Caenorhabditis elegans: one gene and its partners. The protein of the gene in region 1 interacts with the protein of each later gene in a pairwise test. Each region holds a gene or a part of one and is shown in the gene's direction. Other genes may lie near its edges. The genes, in order: casy-1, C17F4.7 and fem-2.

Region 1 (6,901 bases):
TTTATTTTGTTCCTTTTTTCACGTAACCATGGAAATATGCTCGTAATCCGATCTCACGAGGATTTCATTTTTCACATTTTTTGGCATTTTATTTTCCTTCTCGAATATTTTATTATCCCCCAAATTCCGGTCTCGACTTCCGGAAACATTTTGAATTTATTTTGTAAATCACTTGATTATCAATATCTTTACCTCACATTCTCATTTTTCAACAGAATTTTTTAAAAACCTATATTTTTCTCCAGAACTCCTCGCCACTTCGTTTTGCATCAATACCCTCTTGATGCTTCTCAAAAACCAGTCGGATCATTGTCATCTGTTTTTGACACTTCGCACTTTTTCTATTCCAATGGCTATTAATTTTCTACCCACACACCCACCACAACCATAATCCGATAATCGAATTACTAAAAAACTGCTCGTAAAAACTAACGAGAGCACGGCGCTCCCGTGTCTTCTGGCCATCGTCCGTTAAACGGATACATTTATGACTTCCTTCGCTTTCGTCTTTTTCTTCGTTTTTTTTTCTTTTTTCTTGAAATCTTATCCATTCTGGCCAAATTCTTCAAATACATATAAACCTCTTTTTCCACATGATCAGGTAATACACTGGAACCGTGTTTTGGCTATTGGCTGTGTCAGATGATGAATTATGAATAAGGAATTATATTTATTGTGTGCCCCTCTCTTTCCATAGCCTTCCCAGTATTCTCTTGTTCCTCCCAAAATATCGGATGTCAACCTGTTTTCGTTTTCGAATTCGAGGAACTGTTTAATATTACTACCGGATATGTATTTGCGAACAATGCAAAAATCCCAAAAGTTCATTCCATGATAACAACAATTTACAAAAAAAAGTCTGAAGCAGCTGTAAATTGAAAATATTGAAGATTGATCTATTTTCGGATACTTTAAATAATGTAGTAAGAATGAATTAAATTATCTTAGAAACTCCTTTTTCGTATACCGTACTTCCTCTGAATCGACTAAAAATATAACTTTTGTTTAAACCTAATAGCAGGAATGCGAATTTCATAGAATTTTTGGGTTCTTTCCAAGAATGTCTTGCTAAAAAAAACCAAAAATCCACATACAAGTTTATTGGATATTTTCAAAATTTCTTATTTTTTAATCCAAGAATTCATGTTTTTTGTTGCTTGGTAAAATAAATGTATCGCATATCCATACGAACTAGTGCTGATCATCTTTGTTGTTAAATTCTAACTTGTTACACCAATTTCTTTACACCAATTCTGGGACTGTTTCAATCAATCAATATTCCATTTGACATGATTGACCTCGTTGACTCATAATCATGATCATCATCCTTTTATCTTGTAAGCATTTGACTTATTCGTCGTACTCCGTCCCCTTCGCGGCGGCGTCCTTCCTCTTCCGTTTGCCTCGTCTTTCGAATGCTCCACCTCTATTGACACATGCATGCTTGTCTTCACAACTCTCAACTTCTTCTTCTTCTTGTTCCCCTTCTTGCCTCCCTTTTTCAACCCTTGATTTTTGCATGTTCGGTTCTTCCCTTTTTCTACCTAATTTTCAATTCAAACCACACATGTTATGCTTGAAGAAAGAAGAATAAGAAGAACTTCTGTCTCTTCGCATTCTTTTGCTTATTCTCAGATTTCTTTTGGCGTTTTTTTTCTTCGTGCCTCACTTCACTCTGCCGACTGAGCTCCCCACATGAAACCATGACAACCAGCTCAATGTTTTCTCTGGTTTCTCATTTTCTTAACTTCCCCCAGCACTCAATATTTCATTTTCTGATAATCGGATGTGAAGAGGAGATTAGATGGTATGAGTAGGAGGAGCAGATGCTGACTCTCGTGCTCTACTTTCTCAGCTTCAACAAGGCTCACATTCCGTTCCAGCCACTTTTTCTCGTTTCTAGAATCTTTTTCTAGAATTCAATCATATTTTCATTGAAAAAACAGCTATTTATCTACGTCAGATTTTGTTCGTTTGCCTTTCTTCCTCCTTTTCTTTTTTATTCTACTTTTTCCAGTTTCTTAGATTTCAACCCTCGTTTTGTTTCAAACTCCAAATCCCAAAACATTTTAAAACTAAATCCTGGATCTTTGAAGTTTTAAATCAAAATAATGATGCCTCTTCAACGAATTCTCATATTCAATATTGCCATTTATTTATAGTCGGTGTTGAGTAGACGCACGAATAAGAATGAGAAGACCCGCTGCTCAAGAAAAAGCTCAAGAAAGCAGCCGAAAACAAACCTTTCCTTGACACCTAATTGAAAAATTCCCCGCATTTTCTTTTTTCTCGCTCGTGCCATCCACCATTTCATTTCGAAATGTTAGTGCTCCTGACGGCTTACCGGAAAACTATGGCGTGACCAGTGCCAGGAGCTGCAGAGCTGAAACGATTTTCACAAAAAAGAAAAAAGTCGGAAAAATGACGTGTGAGGGTGGAAAATGATTGAGGCATGAAGTAGTGGTGGACAGGGAGAGAGATAGAAAAAATGTGGTTCCGTCTTTTGAACACATTGTTTTGTATATCATCACAATTTCTTTCAATAAAAAATCTAAATCTAAATCAAAAAAATATTTTTTTAATCCAGAGAAATACGAAATCCGTAGAATTTTGATCGGTGGGTTAATCTCCACTCAATTATCTTATTGAAAATTCCGGTATTTAAAATCTACAGATACCCAAAAGCCTAGAGTTTTATCATTCCACTAAGACTGTTAGTCTGTTTTTTTCCAAACACATCCACATTTACTTCCTCCATTCACTCAACACATTTTCTCATTTTTCTGCCCTTTTTGTTATTTCCTTATTCCTTCAATTATTTTCTTCTCACCTTCTCTGCTCGCAGACCTCTACTCACGCACACAAAACCAATCATTTTTCAGACGCAAATTCCAACCAGGCTCTCTTACTCAAACCCACATATGCGAACTGCGTACTTTATTTTTGTCGGCGCCCTTCTAGGCGTCTCCTACGCCAAACATCACCATGCTGCTCGAGGTAACACTTACAGATTATTGGCCGTTAGTTCTTAAATTCCAATCTATTTTCAGCGCCAATAATCAATCTGCAAGGAGCCGAAGAGCTTGTGGCTGTCGTGCGAGAAGATGAGAACATTATCTCGACCGTGCCGGATTTTGCAATCCTCTCTGAAACCGGTGAGTTGGGAGATTAAAATAAATTGTTTTCAGCTCTTACGATTAAAAATCATGATTCATATAGATATGTTTATAATCAAGCCGGCTTGTTAGATCACAAGAAACTTTAATTAAATTTTATAGTTTTCCTTTTTCCTAATTGAAGGTGTGAAAACTAACAAACCTAATTAGAGAAATACAAAAATTCAGCTACTTCCTTTAAATAATCATGCTCATTAGTATTCATGGCATTTACATTCTCAATCTTCTTCTTTTCCCTCGTGTTTCCTTCCTGACATGCCCACCTCATTTGCACAAAAATCTCATCGAAAAAGCAATGCAGCCTCTCATTAATTGTTTCGTTTTCTTTTTTCATGTTTCTTCTTCTTTTCACGCATTTTCTCTGTTTTCTCTTTGATGATGAAGCATCGTTGTCGTTGTCAGCCTGGCTCCATACACACACACACAGGATTACGAGCCACCGACGACGACGACGACGATGTAGAACACGAAGGGATTGACGTGGAAAAGAAAGAGAAAAGAAGAGGGATTAACTATGACATGACATGACAGCCGATGATTCGAGAGAGCATGAATTGAAAAAGACGGGTGATGGAATGAAAGACAAGCTAGAAAAATTGGAATATCTATCCACAATTTGAAATTGAAACAAAAATAAAGCGAATACAATTTGAGGGAATTTTCAGGGCCAGTATGCAACTACCTCCTTACATCACAGAACAATGAGCCAGTGCCATTCGACATCCAGGTTGTTGATAAGTACACTGGAGCAGCTGTACTTCGAGTTAAGGTGAGACATGATGTCATAATGTATTTTTGGAGAATAGGCATCTAATGAAAATTCCAGTATTCATATTTTAATTCGTGTGTATCAGATAATTAGTGGAAAACCGTTTTGTAAGCTTAAAAATCAATGTGTTCTTAGAAGGAATTTTCATTAAACTTTATTCAATATTTCTAAAGAAAATTAATTCTTGATGAGTCACCATTAAAGTTCAAACATTTATTATTCAGGATGCTGCCACACTAGACTGCAAGAAGCCAGAATACAATCTTCAAGTTCAAGCTGTGAAATGCGATAACGACAATGTGAAGAGTGAAGGAGTGTCTCTGAAGATCCGTGTCAAGGACACCAACAATCATGCTCCAGAAATCGAAAACCCTTGGTACACATTCCACGTGGAAGAGGGAAAAGTTGTTGAGGAAGTTGGAGTACTGAAGGCATCTGACAAAGACTGTGGACATCCAAACGGAGAAATCTGTGAATATGAGATCACAAATGGACTTAAGGAACTTCCGTTCGCCATTAACAATCATGGAGTCCTTCGTACAACTCAGCCACTCAACTTTACTCAATCAAAATCATACATTCTCACTGTAGTCGCTATTGACTGCGCAATGAGGAAAAGCAAAAGTTCTCTGGTCACTGTTCACGTTGATGAGAAATGTGTTCAAGGAATCACTGCAATGAATGAGCGTGTCAACTATGCTCCAGGAGTTGGATCAAAGCTTCTCCTCCCAGACGTATCTCTTGAATTCTGTGAAAAGGAAACAATTTGTGAACCAAAGAGTGTGCAGTCAGTCATTGAACTTCGTGCTGGACACGTTACTCAAGGTTGTGCAAGAGACACTGTCTATGATAATCAGACAATTCAATCTTGTGGACTTTCAACTGCTACTGTCAAATTGCTGAACGAAGAAGCCCTTACCAGCTCGGCTGAGAATCAGATTCTTGCTGATCAAGGAATTGAGTTTGATGGAGCCAGAGGAGTGACTGTCTCTGATGAAAATCATCAAGGACTCATTCCGGATCACTTCACATTGAGCTTCTCCATGAAACATGCTGCAGGAACTAAGGACGAGCAAAGTAACAAGCAGAACATTCTTTGCGAAAGTGATGATTTCAGTGAGTTATCTCTTTTAGAAACAACCAGTGAATATGTGTTTTCAGACATGAACCGTCATCACTTCTCTGTCTACATTCGTCACTGCAAATTGGAGGTTGTTCTCCGCCGTGAAGCTGGAGCCACTTCAGACTTCCGTGCTGCTGAATGGCGTTGGTCAATGCCAGAAGTATGCGATAATGAGTGGCATTCATATTCACTTCTCTTCAATGGCATCGATGATGTTAATGTTATCGTCGATGGAAAGAGCTTTAAGGCTGACGAACGAAATCCTGAAATCCTCGACGATTGGCCGCTTCACAAGACCAAGGCAACAAAGACCAAACTTGTTGTAGGAGCGTGCTGGCACGGACGGCAACAGAAACTTGCACAGTTCTTCCGTGGACAACTTTCCTCTCTTTATCTTCTCTCTGGAGCTGTTGAAAGTGAACGTGCAATAAAATGCGCTCATACTTGCCCAGAACAACTTCAGTTCACCGGAGTTGATGAGCTTCTTGAAAGCCAAAGTGCAACATTCTCTCCAGATCAAACCTCTCTTACATTGAAGGCTGAAACATCAAAGCAAATTGGTCAAATGCTCAAGAGAGTTGCCTATGTTAACACTCAAGAGAAACCAGCTCCAGGACACCGTGTTTTCCTTGTTGAGACTGAGGTTACTTGCAAACAAGATGACAAGAAGATGAAGCTACCATCCAGCAAAGGATACGTTTTTGTTCAACAAGCCGCTGAACCAACTCTTTCAATCTCTGCTTCGTCTCAACTCAAAAGTAATCAACACATGGTTAAGGTTGGACAAGCTATGGTTCCAGATCTCACCATAACCATCAGCCAAAACAATGCTGGTAAGTTTTAAATGCAAATAATAAGAAACATTTCGGAATTTCATTTTCAGACGGAGAACTCGAAGATGTCACCCAATCCCACAAGATTGATTACTGTAAGATGCATTTGCAACCAGCACGTGATATGGATGTAGAGTACTTCTCATCACCGGCTTCACTCATTGCAGCTCTTAACATTGAGTTTGAGCATGACAAAGACGTAAGTCCCAGACAGATTCAAATCTGATTTCAATCTTCTAATTTCCTGCTCTTCAGGGCATCCTTCTTCGCGGAGAGGAAAGCGCTCAAGGGTACAAGGAAGTGCTCTCGAAGGTTCATTATTTCAACACTCGACCAGAATCATACGCCAAACGTGTCTACACCGTCCAGTGTGCCATGCTCAAGGGCCGAGTACTCAGCAATCAGTTGTTTGTCACGGTTAGTTTTTATGGATCTTCAAGTTTTTTCTATCTCACATTATGTCTTACGGCGTTGAAAGTTTGGAGCTCAACTATTCTAAGTCTATCAATTTCTAGTTTCATTGCTCAAGATCCTATAAAAACTTAAGGGCTCAAGAAACCGAGAATCTCTTCTCACATTCCACTGTAATTACTCATTCATTCATTCTCAGAAGAAATCTTTTTCACATTATGTACAAAATCCATTTATGTCCTTGCTCTTCTCAGCAGCATATAATGATTTGAGAGAGCGCCCCGTCTGTTTTCATCGCCTCAAAATGGGTTTTAGAGTGAGATGGATAGAAGGAAAATTTGTGTCTTCCATTTAGAAATTGCCATCATTTGTGCAATACGCACTTGGATCGTCCTTTTTTCATGTCTATAGTTTAGAATATTTGTTGATATCTAAATAGTTGTTTCCGAGTTCCTTTTGTATTCTGATTCTTAAAAACGGAGTAGCGTGATTGAGAATATTGCTTTAAATTGACAAAATAAACTCTAAATTCAGAAATTTGACATTAAAAAAATAATTAATCTCCATGTTTGAGTTAAATCCAAAATGA
Region 2 (5,448 bases), 2.7 Mb from region 1:
AAAAATCAAAAAATGATCACTTTCCGCCAACATAACCGATAGGTTTCATATAGTCTCCTTGTCGAATTCTCGAGTCAAAAGTGTTACGGGTTTCTGGAAAAATTTATGAATTTCAGCAAAAAAGTTCAAAAACTTACCTTGTGCATATTTTAAATGGTCCAACAAATCCTGTCGGGTGAGCCCATGGGCTAAATTGCAGCAGAAATACAAGAAAAATAAGATTTTCTTCATAATTTTTACGGTTTATTTGACGAGAAAAATGGTGGAAAGTGAAAAGAAGATAGGGTTATCAGTGCGATAAGTTTCTCGGAAAACTGGATTTTATTGGGTTTCTCGGCTTTTCCTTATCGATTATCACATGTAAAGGGGGTTAAAAAGAAATAGAAGTTCGGGAAAAGGTTCAGTATTTACAAAAAACTACAAAAGTCAGAATTGTTTAGGCTTAGTCTTAGTCTTAGGCTTAGGCTAAGACATAGGCCTAGGATTGCGAAATTCCTGGAAAAAATTTTAAAAAATCGATAATTTCCCAAGATAGAAGCTTTCAGATTATTCTGAAATACATAAAAATCTTTTTTTTTTTTCATTTTTTCTAACCCAAACCCCTAAAAATTTCTCCAATTTCCTCGGTAGATCAAAAAAAACCACACCGCCAATTTCATCGCTGCCGCCTGTATACACCGCGCGAACAGCTGCCGGCGAGAGAGCGCACTGAGTGAGGAGACGCAGAGAAACAGACAGATTTTGTCCATTTTCCGGCGGCGTTGTGCACAGGAAACAGTCATTCATATCTGTTATTCCTCCCAATGGAGACAGGTAATTTTTCAACGACCAGTGGATTTTCCGACGAGTGCTTGAAGTCGATTCTTCGGTTCATGGATGCGAATCAGCGGTCAGTTTCGTAGTTTTTTTTTAAATTTAATTTTAAAAATAAATAAAAAATATTTCGCAAATTCGAACCTTTATTTTCCAGATTCCACCTCTCCCAGCAATGCCCATCTCTGCGATCCTTTGAGAAGTCAGTGCCACTTTACGTCTATGAGCTCACCCTCCTACAGGACAAGCTTTTCGTGAACGCGGTGGAGTATCAACTCGGCGATGGGCAGCTTACCGTGCTCGACAAGCGGACCGGCCAGCAAATCCGTGAGCCCTCACGTCACTCCATGGAGGATCTCATTTCCCGACTGCTCAGTGGATACCAGGAGCCTCTGAGCATCGGGCTTCTTCTCATCCCCAATTCGGAAGTCTTAAAGTTCCCGGAGTCCCTGAAAGTGAAGGCTCTCTGCTTGACGATCCAATCCAACGTGGCTTCGGTGATGGGCTCGCTGAGCAAGATGCTTGATGAGAAGAGCTTCCCGCTTCGTAGGCTCTATGTGATTGGGCACAAGGATTTTGAGAAATTCGAGAACTTCAGTCACGATGCTTGCAAAAACGCAAAGAAGCTGGTGATCCTGGGACGTTCGGTGCCGGTTTCTTTCCTTTGCAGCCTTCCGAACAAGAGGATTCATTTGGAGAGCGCGGACGACTACACGGTCGACGATTTTATGCGGCTTATCGAGAAATGGGCCGATGGGACTACGGAGAATATCAAAACTGCCGGTAATTTCCACTACAAGTTCACGCTGTCAAATCCGGAGCTGGTGAAGCAAGTGTTCGCGTTGTCTGAGGTGCTTGGCGACGCCGGAAAGAAGGATCCGATCAAATTTTTTGGAAAAGTGTGAGTTTATCGGGTAGTTAGGTAGATTTACGGTTTTTAGTGTGGGTTTACGGGAATAGGTGTAGATTTACGGAGGAATGTGAGGATATAGGTGGTCTGTGTAGATTCACGAAAAGTTGAGTAGATTTACGAAAGCACATGTAGTTTTACGGGAGATTGTGTAGGTTTACGGAAGCTAGTGTAGATTTACAGGAGCCCGTGAAGATTTACGGGGGCTAGTGTAGATTTACGGGGGTTAGTGTGGATTTACGGGGACTGTGTAGATTTACGGATCTACACATAGATTTACGGAAGGAATGAGTGAACTTGCGGTAGGTGGCGTAGATAAACGGGAAGTAGATAGTGTAGATTTACGGAAGACTATGTGGATTTACAAGAGGAATGTGTGAACTTACGGTAGGTGTAGATTTACGGACGCCAGTGTAGATTTACGGAAGGACGTGTAGATTTACGGAAGCAAGTGTAGATTTACGAACCTACGTAAAGATTTACGGATCTTTGTGTAGACTTGCGGATTTTCATGTAGATTTACTTAAATTTCTGCCAAATTGTAAATGTTTTCTTGTAGATTTACGGCGCTTTTTACCTTGTCATTCATTAATTTATCTATTATTTCAGATGCGAAGAGTTCCCCAATGTGATTGTCTACACCGTGAGTGACACCATGGAAATCTACGCGTACTGTGAAAAGAAGAGCCCCGAGAAATGGTTGCTCACCATCACAATCGACCGAGTTGGCCTCAACAAGTTGTACTATATGATTGAAACATTGCTCGACGAGTTTATGGACAAAGTGGAGGGAGTTGGAAAGTCGAAGCATTTGTGTCGTTATTAAATTTTGTATAGAATTTTATTGTGTTTTATAATAGTAATTAAATAAATTGGAATATCTAGATTTTGATAATTTGCTGGAAGCTGGAAATTTCTCTGAAAATAGGCAGTCTACCGGACATCTCAGGTCTTACATAGGTAGTTTGTAATTGGAATCCGGAGATTGCAATTTAATTTTCAATTTCCGTTTTTCATATGGTTTCCAAACTTCAAAAACCAAGCAGCCAATTTTCCTTATCACTACTTCACTAACTGCACTTTTATGGCTCGTTCAGCGTCATCCACATATTAACTATGCGACACAAAATAGTTAAACTGATAAGGGTGGTGTGACTGGTTTCAGCATATAAAACCCCGCTCCAAACTAGGAAACCATTGCACTTTTCTGGCTATGTTATCAGTTCTGTTTCTCCTGCTCGTCGGAGCATTCACCATCGGAGCCAACCCGGTCAACTTTGCAGACTGCCCATTCCCAAATGGTACTGACAAGGCGATTCACTCCTACATGTGCTCCGACAATGAGCAATTTTCAATCACCGATATTCAGACTTTGGACTCTAATCAGAAGCCCTACTACCCGATTGACCCCCGCCATCCGTTTATTCTGAACCTTACCACTTACAATCATGGAGAACAAATTGATGATAATAAGGTGAAAGTGAAAATCAATCAGTACAAGTCAGGATGGACTGGTGGATGCTCTTGGAAGTCGATTCCCACTTTTGGATTGTTGGATGATATTGATGGCTGTGATTTTGCACACAATTGCCCGTTGGAGTCAGGACCGCTGTTTTTGATTTTGCCGTTGGATTTGAGCCAGTTTTCTGTCATCATTGAGCTTCTGGCTGCGCATGTAAGTTACAGTACCCCTACAGTACTCCTACAGTACCCAACCACAATAACTTTAAATGAATCCTTTGGTAATCTAGGAAAACAGTTATCCTACAGTACCCTTACATTATCTGAAAACATAACTCCTACAGTACAGCAGTATGTGCTAGAATTTGAGATGTTCCAGTTTCAAACTAGCGACGTCACAAACTACAAACTACATACACTCCATTGTGATCTCAAAATTTTCTTTAAATTCACTGTTTTCTCATTTTCAGAAGCCCTACGAACTGGAAATCCGCATGTTCAACCACAATCCAGGAAATACAAAGCACGAAGAGATTGCCTGTGTTATGGCACAACTTGAGCTCTCCTAATTTTTTTTTGTACATTTTGATATGCTCGATAATAAATACATATGCGCATGACAATTGAAAATATTACTAAAAAAGTAACTTGTTTCATTATTTTCAAAAATCAAACATTTTTATGGCAGGGTCATAAAAAGGATGTCGGTGATGGAGAACTGCTCATTATCGGAGCAGAGGTCATAAAAATGCGTATATTTAGTATTTGTGATTTTTTAGGAAATTTCAGAAAATTCCAAAAAAAAAACTACAGAATTTTTCAGAAATGTGTAAAGCATTTCAATTTTTTCTATAATTTTTGCAGTCTAGAAATTATTTAACATTAAAAAAAATTAATTTCTGAATTTTTCAACAAATTTTTAATTTGTAGTTTTCCTACACATCTCTTCCAAATTCCCAAAAGTTCAATCCGTGTCACTTTCCAATTTCCCTTTTATCTCAAGATTATCCTGTTCGCTATCACTTCTTCGAGGGGGGGGGGGGGGGGTCAAACTTCTAGTACACTTTTTAGATATTGAAAAAAAAACCAGAAAAACAAAAAACAACTTATTATAAAGTTAATATTACATGTGGGAAATTGCAATAATTTTTTTTTTCAAAAAAATATTAAAATTTGAAGAATTGGCGAGAAACCTAAATTTTTCAAATTTTTACAGGCATTTGTGTAGTTAACAGTTTTTTGCAGTAATTTTTTTTTAATTTTGGAAAACAGTTTTCGAGAAAAATTTTTAAACACAGGCGGATTTTTAGAGCTTTTAATTTTCACTATTTTTGAAAAACTTATATTTTTCCGAGTTTGGTCGAAAACTTAAATACTTTACTGGTTAATCATTGTTGTAAATTTACAATATCCTTTAAACATTTCAAAAACCCAGGTTCCCCCAACCCAACCTAACACTCTCTCCCTTCCCGACCTTTGTGTCATATGATCCCAAACCGGTTTAGCTTATCCTTGCAAAATGTAGGGGATAAAAGGAATGAAGACGTGATAAGATTGAAAAGTCTAGTTTGTGATTTGAACAATGCTTTATCAAAATTCTATTGTGATTTGCTACCTGATATTGAGCTGCACCCATATTTTTGTTAAAGCTAGAGGTAGGTTTATATCATCAAAAATTGATTCCGCCAAAATCTGAAATTTAAAATTTTCAGTATTCAACAACTTTCCAGCTCAATATGCAGAAAATAGTCAAATCCCAGAAATTTCAAATTTCCCTGAAGCCAATTCTATTCAAGAAAATCCCACGACTTATGGCACCCGGCCAACTCTGAAAATCCCGTTCCAAATGATAGTCACCCCTGATTCTAAATCAGTAAGTTAGTTTTTTTCAAAAATTTCCAACAAACAATTCAATTTCCAGCTGCAATTCTACAACCCAATGCTTGCCTACCGGGAGGCTACTCAATCCAATGAGCCACGTGTCATCGTGTATAACTCGGAGCTACGGGATTTGGAGAAATTCTACCAGCAGCCACTTTTTGATTGAATAAAATTTTGTTTGAAATGAACTCTAGTTTTTGAACCAAAGCTCTATGCCAACGTTGAGCCGAGTTAAAGCTATTTGGAGATTCGCTGAGTCGCTACTCAGTCAAACTCAGGACATACTCAAACTCAAACTCAGCTACTCAGGACATACTCCCCGCGAATGTTTACTGTAAACAATTTGCAGATGACCTCAAGCTTTATACCAAAATCTCCAAAAG
Region 3 (7,205 bases), on another chromosome or scaffold:
CCACGTAGCAAAAAATGAAAAAATTTTAGATTCCAGGCTAAAAACCTGTTTTTTTCTTTAAATTTTTAAAAAATTAGGTAGTTTTTTTCTCCTGAAAAATGTAAATTTTCCTCCAAAAAAAATCCTGAAAAATCTCAATTTTTCTTCAAAAAAAATCCTGAAAAATCTCAATTTTCGTCAAAAAAATTCCTGAAAAATGTAATTTTTCATCCAAAAAATTCCTGAAAAATCTCAATTTTCCTTCAAAAAAAATTCCTGATAAATCTTAATTTTCCTCCAAAAAAAAAATCCTTTAAAAATCTCAATTTTTATATAAAAAAATTCTTGAAAAATGTGAATTTTCATCCAAAAAAATTCCTGAAAAATCTCAATTTTCCTCTAAAAAATTCCTAAAAAATTCCTAAAAAATTTCAATTTTCCTCCAAAAAAATTCCTGAAAAATCCCAATTTTTTCTAAAAATTCCTAAAAAATCTTAATTTTCTCCCAAACAAGTTCCTGAAAATTTTTAATTTTTCTTCAAAAAAATCCTGAAAAATCTCAATTTTCCAGGTATCCCAGCTGATTGCCTCAATGGTCGTAAATCCTGAAACGAAGCGTCCAGTTCCACCGTCAGTAATCGATAAAGCTCTACAAGAAATGCACTTTTCCCTGAAACCGAATCGTTCCTCAAAGCAGCAGGCTCTCGACGCAATTCCAAAACTTCGTGAAACTCTGAAAATCGAACGAGCCAAGATGAAGATCCGTGTGGCGATTCCGACAAAAGAAGCGAAATCCGTGCACACGAAGCTTAAAACCCTATTCAGTGACGTGGAAGTTGACGATTGGCAGGATGGAAGCCTCGAGATGGTTGGGCTCATTGAGCCCGGATCGTTCAGAGCTTTGGACGATTTGGTCCGAAATGAGACGAAGGGACACGGAAGATTGGAGATTCTCAGCTTGAAGGATGTCGTCGAAGGAGAATTGCAGATTTCTTAAATTTCATGTTAAAAATTTTATTTTTTTGTTGCTTTTTTGCTCTTTTGCACTCAAAATGTGCAGACATTTTTGAGTGTTTTTCTTTTTTTCCCCTCCACACACCCGAGAATTCTTTTTGGATCTCAAATTGTTATCATCAACGTTCCCATGTTTTTTCCCAGTTACCAAAAACTTTTTGTGTCAGGTTTTCAGAAATCATTATTGCTTTTAAATGAAAAGTGTTAATCTTACAAATTTTTGAGAAAAACAATTTGGAAAAAAACCCCAGGAACATGATTTGAAGGCTAGAAAACTAATTCTCTAAGTTTCCCCGGCTCGAAAAAAATTCGTTCAATATTTATTTTCCATCACTTTGCATAATTTACAGTACTCACCAGGCCAGCGAAATTCATGAAATTGTACAATTTTCTTGTTGTTTTTCCAACAAAATTTAAAAATAACCCGGACTAGTCGAAAACAAGGCAGTCGTGGGGTACTGTAAATTAGGCGGCCTACCAAGTTGAGCCTTCGCCAAGTAATCCTCTATTTCCCTGTCACAACCGATAATGGGGCAATGTCTTGGAACCCTGTGCACTGTAGATTCAGCTACAGATAATATTTCCAGCGTCTATCAGCTGGCAGGCCCAGTTGCGGTGAAAGAGAGCCCACGTATTGCTGAACGGGACCCAAAGGTAATATTTTTCGTTTTTTTTTCAGAGTCTTATGTTTTCAATCTTTTTTGCTGAGAAACCTTCGAAAAAAAAAACAAATCTAAGCTTAAGTCTAAACCTAAGCCTATGCCTGGAGACACAAGCCTAAGCCTACGCATAAGCCTAGGCCTAAACCTAAGCCTACACCTAAGCTTAAGCCTAAAGGTTAGCCTAAGACTAAGCTCACACCTAAGCCTAAGACTCAGCCAAAGCCTAAGACTCAGCCTAGGCCTCAGCCAAAGCCTACGCCTAAGTCTATGCCAATTTCTAAGTCTATGCCTTTGACAATACCTAAACGTATGCCTATACCTAAGCTCAAGAAATTTTCAGGTCAAAATCTCTGTGAATCCCGAGGAGGAAAATGTTGAACGCCCCTGTGTACTTTACTCGAAAAGTAACGAGATTATCAAAAAACCGGATATTTTTGAGGTGAGAATATTCTTAATCACGGGCACGGATTTTCTCAAATTTATAAATTTTTAGGAAATCTACAAGCGCACACCGATCACCCTCTCGAATAACGGTAGAATTGACGTTGCCGAGGTTTTTTAAACATATTTTTTTCAAAATTACATTTATCAAGAACTGAATTAATGAATTCAGCTTCCCGCCGGACAACGAGTCATTGAAGTAGAGAACAACGAGGTTCGCGACAAGTATAAAAAAACGTTGTACGAGATTCGGAGAAAATGCAGGGAACTTCAGAATTTGGGTGCTGAGGATGAGGTAGGCGGCCTTCAATGGCGTTTGAGTTAACTCAAGAAAAATCTGCGATTTTTCCAGGAAACCGGTGAAATCATCGATACTCTTCTTATTCTTTACAAGGACTTCTTCTTACTAACCACGTGGAAAATCGATAAGTACGCCCAGTTGAGAAAAAATGCCGCAGTTCAAGCTTACAACTCGCTACCCAAGCTTAGAGCCGACCCCGCTGAATTCCGATGCCACGTGGAGTTTCAGTATCGCGTGGCAAATGAGCTATGGGAGCATTTCAAGGAGACATATATCCACAAATATGAAGCATGTAATTGGGCGGAGAGGGCGAAAGTGAAGGAATGGGATCTTTTGGACAGCCAAGTACAGACGCCGAATGTGGAGTGGGATTATCTTGGCGCGCATGGATATATATGAATAATTGATTTTTATTTTAAATTTTTGATCCATTTTTGATTTGATAAAAATGTTATTAATACAATACAATGCGAATTAAATTAATATTTCGCGCGAGAAACGCGCCAACGCACCGAAAGTGCGCAAACGAGAAGCTTTGCGCGTTTCTGGTGCAGAAAATTCTGCATTATTTTTTTGTTGATTTTTCCTCATTTTGTGTTGAAATCCATTGTTTTTTCTCGGTTTTTCTCTGATTTTTATGTTAAAAACAATTATTGAAATGTCAGATCAACCCAGCTGTCCCACCGAAGCCGGTAGTGGTTTTAAAACTGGAAAAATACATGGAAAAAGTAAACGAGGAGCGGGATGCGGTTTTCGAGGTAGAAAACGGGATTTTATATATTTAATGCTAGTTAGAAAAATGTATATTCCAGGATCACATCGGCGATCGCCGTCGAAGTGTCCGGTCACTTCTGGAGGAGGCATTTGCAGATGAAATGGAGAAAACTAGCTATGACGTCGAGGTTGCCGACACTCCACAACCGCATATTCCAATACGTTTCCGTCATCCACCAATCGCCGGACCAGTTCATGATGTTTTCGGAGACGCGATTCACGACATTTTCCAGAAAATGATGAAAAGAGGCCAGGCGGTCGACTTTTGTCACTGGGTGTCTCACTTGATCGCCACAGAAATTGACGAGAAATTCAGTGAAGTTGCGTTCAGAGATGTTCAGTATAATCCTGATATTTATGTTACCGATAGTACCACAGGTAATTATTAAATGTGCAAAATCTGCTATTAATTTAGCAGACCAAGCATGGGCCTGCTAAATATTCAGCAGGCCTATCCCCATTGGTCTGCTAAATATTTAGCATACCTAACTTGGGTCTGCTAAATATTTAGCAGACCCATCCCCATTGGTCTGCTAATTATTTAGCAGACCAACTATGGGTCTGCTAATTATTTAGCAGACCACCTATGGGTCTGCTAAATATTTAGCATACCTACCATGAGTCTGCTAAATATTTAGCAGACCTATCCTCATTGGTCTGCTAAATATTTTTAGCTGGCCATTCCCCATTGATCTGCTAATTTTTGCAAAAATAAAACTTGTTAAATAGAATTTTTAAAAAATCTTCAAAAACTCAACACTTCTGTTCATCAATACAACTTATTTTCAGAAGCCAAAAAGCTATTCAACGACAAAATTTGGCCGGCGATCGACAAGATTCTCCAGCAAAACGCCGAAACGTGCCCGATTCTGTCTGAAAAGTGGTCTGGAATCCACGTGTCGGGCGATCAACTGAAAGGGCAACGTCACAAGCAAGAAGATCGGTTTTTGGCGTATCCTAATGGGCAATATATGGATCGTGGAGAGGTTTAGGAGGATTTTAGGCCTGGAAAATTACTGAAAAATGAAATTTTTAGGATCCAATTTCGGTGTTAGCGGTGTTCGATGGTCACGGTGGTCACGAGTGCTCTCAGTACGCAGCCGGGCACCTTTGGGAGACATGGTTGGAGGTTCGAAAATCGCGAGATCCTTCAGATAGCCTCGAAGATCAGCTTCGCAAGTCGCTGGAGCTTCTCGACGAACGAATGACTGTCAGAAGTGTGAAAGAGTGTTGGAAGGGTGGAAGTACAGCTGTCTGCTGTGCAATCGACATGGATCAGAAGCTTATGGCGCTGGCGTGGCTCGGTGACTCACCCGGATACGTCATGTCGAACATTGAATTCCGTCAGTTGACACGTGGACACTCGCCATCCGATGAACGGGAAGCTCGGCGTGTTGAGGAAGCTGGCGGCCAGCTTTTTGTGATTGGAGGCGAATTGCGGGTGAACGGAGTTCTAAATCTCACCCGAGCACTCGGAGATGTTCCTGGACGGCCGATGATCTCTAATGAACCGGAAACGTGTCAGGTGCCTATTGAAAGCTCGGATTATCTGGTGCTCCTGGCTTGTGATGGAATTTCTGATGTTTTCAACGAGCGTGACCTGTACCAGTTGGTGGAGGCATTTGCGAATGATTATCCTGTTGAAGGTTAATAAAAATTCTTGGAGAAAAACTAAATTTCCAAAGCCAAAAACTATTTTTTCGTTTTTTTTTTCTGAAAAAAAATCAGAAGATTGGCTATTTTTCGGGGGTTTTCAAAAAAAAAAGTAAAGATTTTCGAATTATTGTATTTTTAAAAAAGAAAATCGGGTAATTTACTAAAATTTGAAAAAATCAATTTTTAAAAAAACCATTCAAAATTATTTTTAAGGTAAAAAACATTAGCCGACGTTACTTTATTTTTTAATGTAGAAAATTCTTTAAAAATCGAAAAAAAATTTTTTCAGACTACGCGGAGCTCTCCCGTTTCATCTGTACAAAAGCGATTGAGGCTGGAAGTGCCGACAACGTGTCTGTTGTGATTGGCTTTTTGCGTCCACCGCAGGATGTGTGGAAGCTTATGAAACATGAATCAGACGATGAAGATTCCGATGTCACTGATGAGGAATAACTGCTTTTCGGTGGAAATTTTGCCTGAAAATTGGGAAAATTCTTGCTAAACTTCGGTTGATTTTCTCAAATTTTTGTCGTTTTTTTTCCTAATTTTCGGTCGATTTTATCAAATTTTCCCCTGTTTTCCTGTGTCTATTTGTTTTTTGGGTATTCCAATTTTCTCTCTCCTATTCACCATATCGTCGTCATTTCTCCCCGTTATCTAGCAGCTTTCCGTGACCCACACACATATTTTGTTCTCGGTGTTCCTGTAGCATTTCACATTTACATACGTTTCCAACCAGTTGGCATCCCACCAAAAATCCGAGTACTTTCCTTCTCCTCCTCCACTTGAACATATATTTGATTTGAATTTATTTTATGATATAAATTGTATAATGACGTGGAATTACTGGGATATTGAGTAGCTGAATAGGTTTTTGAGACACTTTTTGAACACTGAATTTTCATAAATGACTGTAAACTTTTCAACTCGTGAAAAATGTAAAAAATCGGAGTATACCAGTCATTTTCAGTAGAAAATCTCCTTTTCAATTGAAAATCCGGGATTTTTCGAAAGAAAAGCTCGAAAACACCGCGAAAAAATGATTAAAAAAGTCATATTTTCAAGAGGGAATTTCAAATTTCCCGCTTACAGCAAATGCGCTCTATTAACAAAGAAAGCAGAATTTAGCTGAAACACGGCCCGGCAAAGGGTACATCAGTGTAAACGCGCTCTACTGATAATTGCAGTTTAGCCAGGTTTGGGCGCGTTTTAAGGAAAAAAGATTTGGTCCAAAAAATTTTGAATTTAATTTTTTTTTATGGTGGAATTTTACAAAATTTGATTTTTTTTAAATTTTCGATACGAAATTCTAATTTAGCGTCATTGGTGATTTTACAAATTTTCAGCATTTTGTCGTCAAATTTGGTGTTGCCACAGTACTTACATACTTTTGGAGCTACAGTAACCCAATGTTCACCGACATGTGGCGCCAGACTGTCCCATCGCTCTACTGCGCCAGAAAAGCGTGAAAATATTTTTTGAAATTTTGTGACGTCACAGAGCATTTCGAATAATTGTTTTTGCAGTTTAAGCCTCGATTTTCGCCGTTTTTTGCGTCGAATAACTTTAATTTATAAAAATGATATATTAAAATGAACTTACTATTAGGAAGATATACATATAACCCTTTAAAAATCTGAATTATTATTAAATTGTTCCCTTTTTTTTCTATTCATCACAATTTCTAGTCATGTAGACAATAACAATTAGAAGATGCACAAAAACGGCATATTTATAATTTTTCACCCAATTTTGTACAGTATCCAAATTCATATACGACACCCCCTGCCAAATTCTGAGAAAAACAATTAGAGGCGCATATAAAATTTGGTCGACTTCACTTTTTTTTTCTCATTTTCACTCGATTTTCTGCGATGGGATTGGTTACAAGTATTCTGGGACGGCGAGAGTATCGTTTGCTCCAAAATTCGGTTACCAAGAAGCATTTGTGCAAATTTATGGGTGTAGAGTTCGACTACAATGACTTGGATGAGATTACCGAGGTGAGATGATTTTTTATGATTTTAATGCTATGCCTACACCAAGCCTACCACACATGGTGCCAGGCTGTCCCATTACGGTTTGATCTACAAAAAATGCGGGAATTTTTCGCCCAGAAAAATGTGACGTCAGCACGTTCCTGACCATGCGAAATCATTTTAGAACTCTGCGTCTCAACTCCCGCATTTTTGTAGATCTGCGTAGATCAAACCGAAATGGGACTCTGACAACGCCCTCCTTCATCAGTTAAGTGTCGAATTAAAAGAAAAAAATAGTTTTTTGTCTTCGAATTTTTTGTAGCTTTCCAGATCCGTGTTGGGGAGAATATATTCGACACGTTCGAATCCTACGCAAGATTCGCCATGAAAGACACTATG

What was found.
Region 2: the proteins of casy-1 (region 1) and C17F4.7 interact in a two-hybrid assay, tested with the Caenorhabditis elegans proteins (one large-scale study listed by BioGRID).
Region 3: the proteins of casy-1 (region 1) and fem-2 interact in a two-hybrid assay, tested with the Caenorhabditis elegans proteins (one large-scale study listed by BioGRID).

What each region holds. Positions count from the first base shown.
Region 1 is NC_003280.10:5,952,665-5,959,565, reverse strand, and holds the start of casy-1 (Secreted calsyntenin-1), read left to right. Parts: upstream 1-2,882; 5' UTR 2,883-2,921; coding exon 2,922-2,997; intron 2,998-3,050; coding exon 3,051-3,155; intron 3,156-3,841; coding exon 3,842-3,945; intron 3,946-4,169; coding exon 4,170-5,061; intron 5,062-5,106; coding exon 5,107-5,901; intron 5,902-5,951; coding exon 5,952-6,100; intron 6,101-6,156; coding exon 6,157-6,318; intron 6,319-6,901. UniProt on the Caenorhabditis elegans protein: Cell adhesion molecule involved in associative learning and memory.
Region 2 is NC_003280.10:3,243,474-3,248,921, reverse strand, and holds C17F4.7 (MD-2-related lipid-recognition domain-containing protein), read left to right. Parts: upstream 1-2,906; 5' UTR 2,907-2,936; coding exon 2,937-3,398; intron 3,399-3,654; coding exon 3,655-3,753; 3' UTR 3,754-3,835; downstream 3,836-5,448. Other genes in the region: C17F4.2 (Neuropeptide-Like Protein), read right to left, coding at 21-93, 138-231; fbxc-50 (F-box domain-containing protein), read left to right, coding at 804-889, 971-1,714, 2,333-2,549; C17F4.12 (uncharacterized protein), read left to right, coding at 4,767-4,839, 4,897-5,057, 5,106-5,231.
Region 3 is NC_003281.10:630,484-637,688, reverse strand, and holds fem-2 (Protein phosphatase fem-2), read left to right. Parts: upstream 1-3,062; 5' UTR 3,063-3,116; coding exon 3,117-3,155; intron 3,156-3,209; coding exon 3,210-3,549; intron 3,550-3,960; coding exon 3,961-4,157; intron 4,158-4,207; coding exon 4,208-4,817; intron 4,818-5,116; coding exon 5,117-5,280; 3' UTR 5,281-5,670; downstream 5,671-7,205. Other genes in the region: sbds-1 (Ribosome maturation protein SBDS), read left to right, coding at 551-976; eakr-4 (EAK-4 Related), read left to right, coding at 1,522-1,647, 1,996-2,094, 2,149-2,208, 2,269-2,391, 2,449-2,796; T19C3.6 (uncharacterized protein), read left to right, coding at 6,702-6,830, 7,137-7,205. UniProt on the Caenorhabditis elegans protein: Dephosphorylates auto-phosphorylated Ca(2+)/calmodulin-dependent protein kinase unc-43/CAMKII in vitro. Involved in the regulation of sex determination.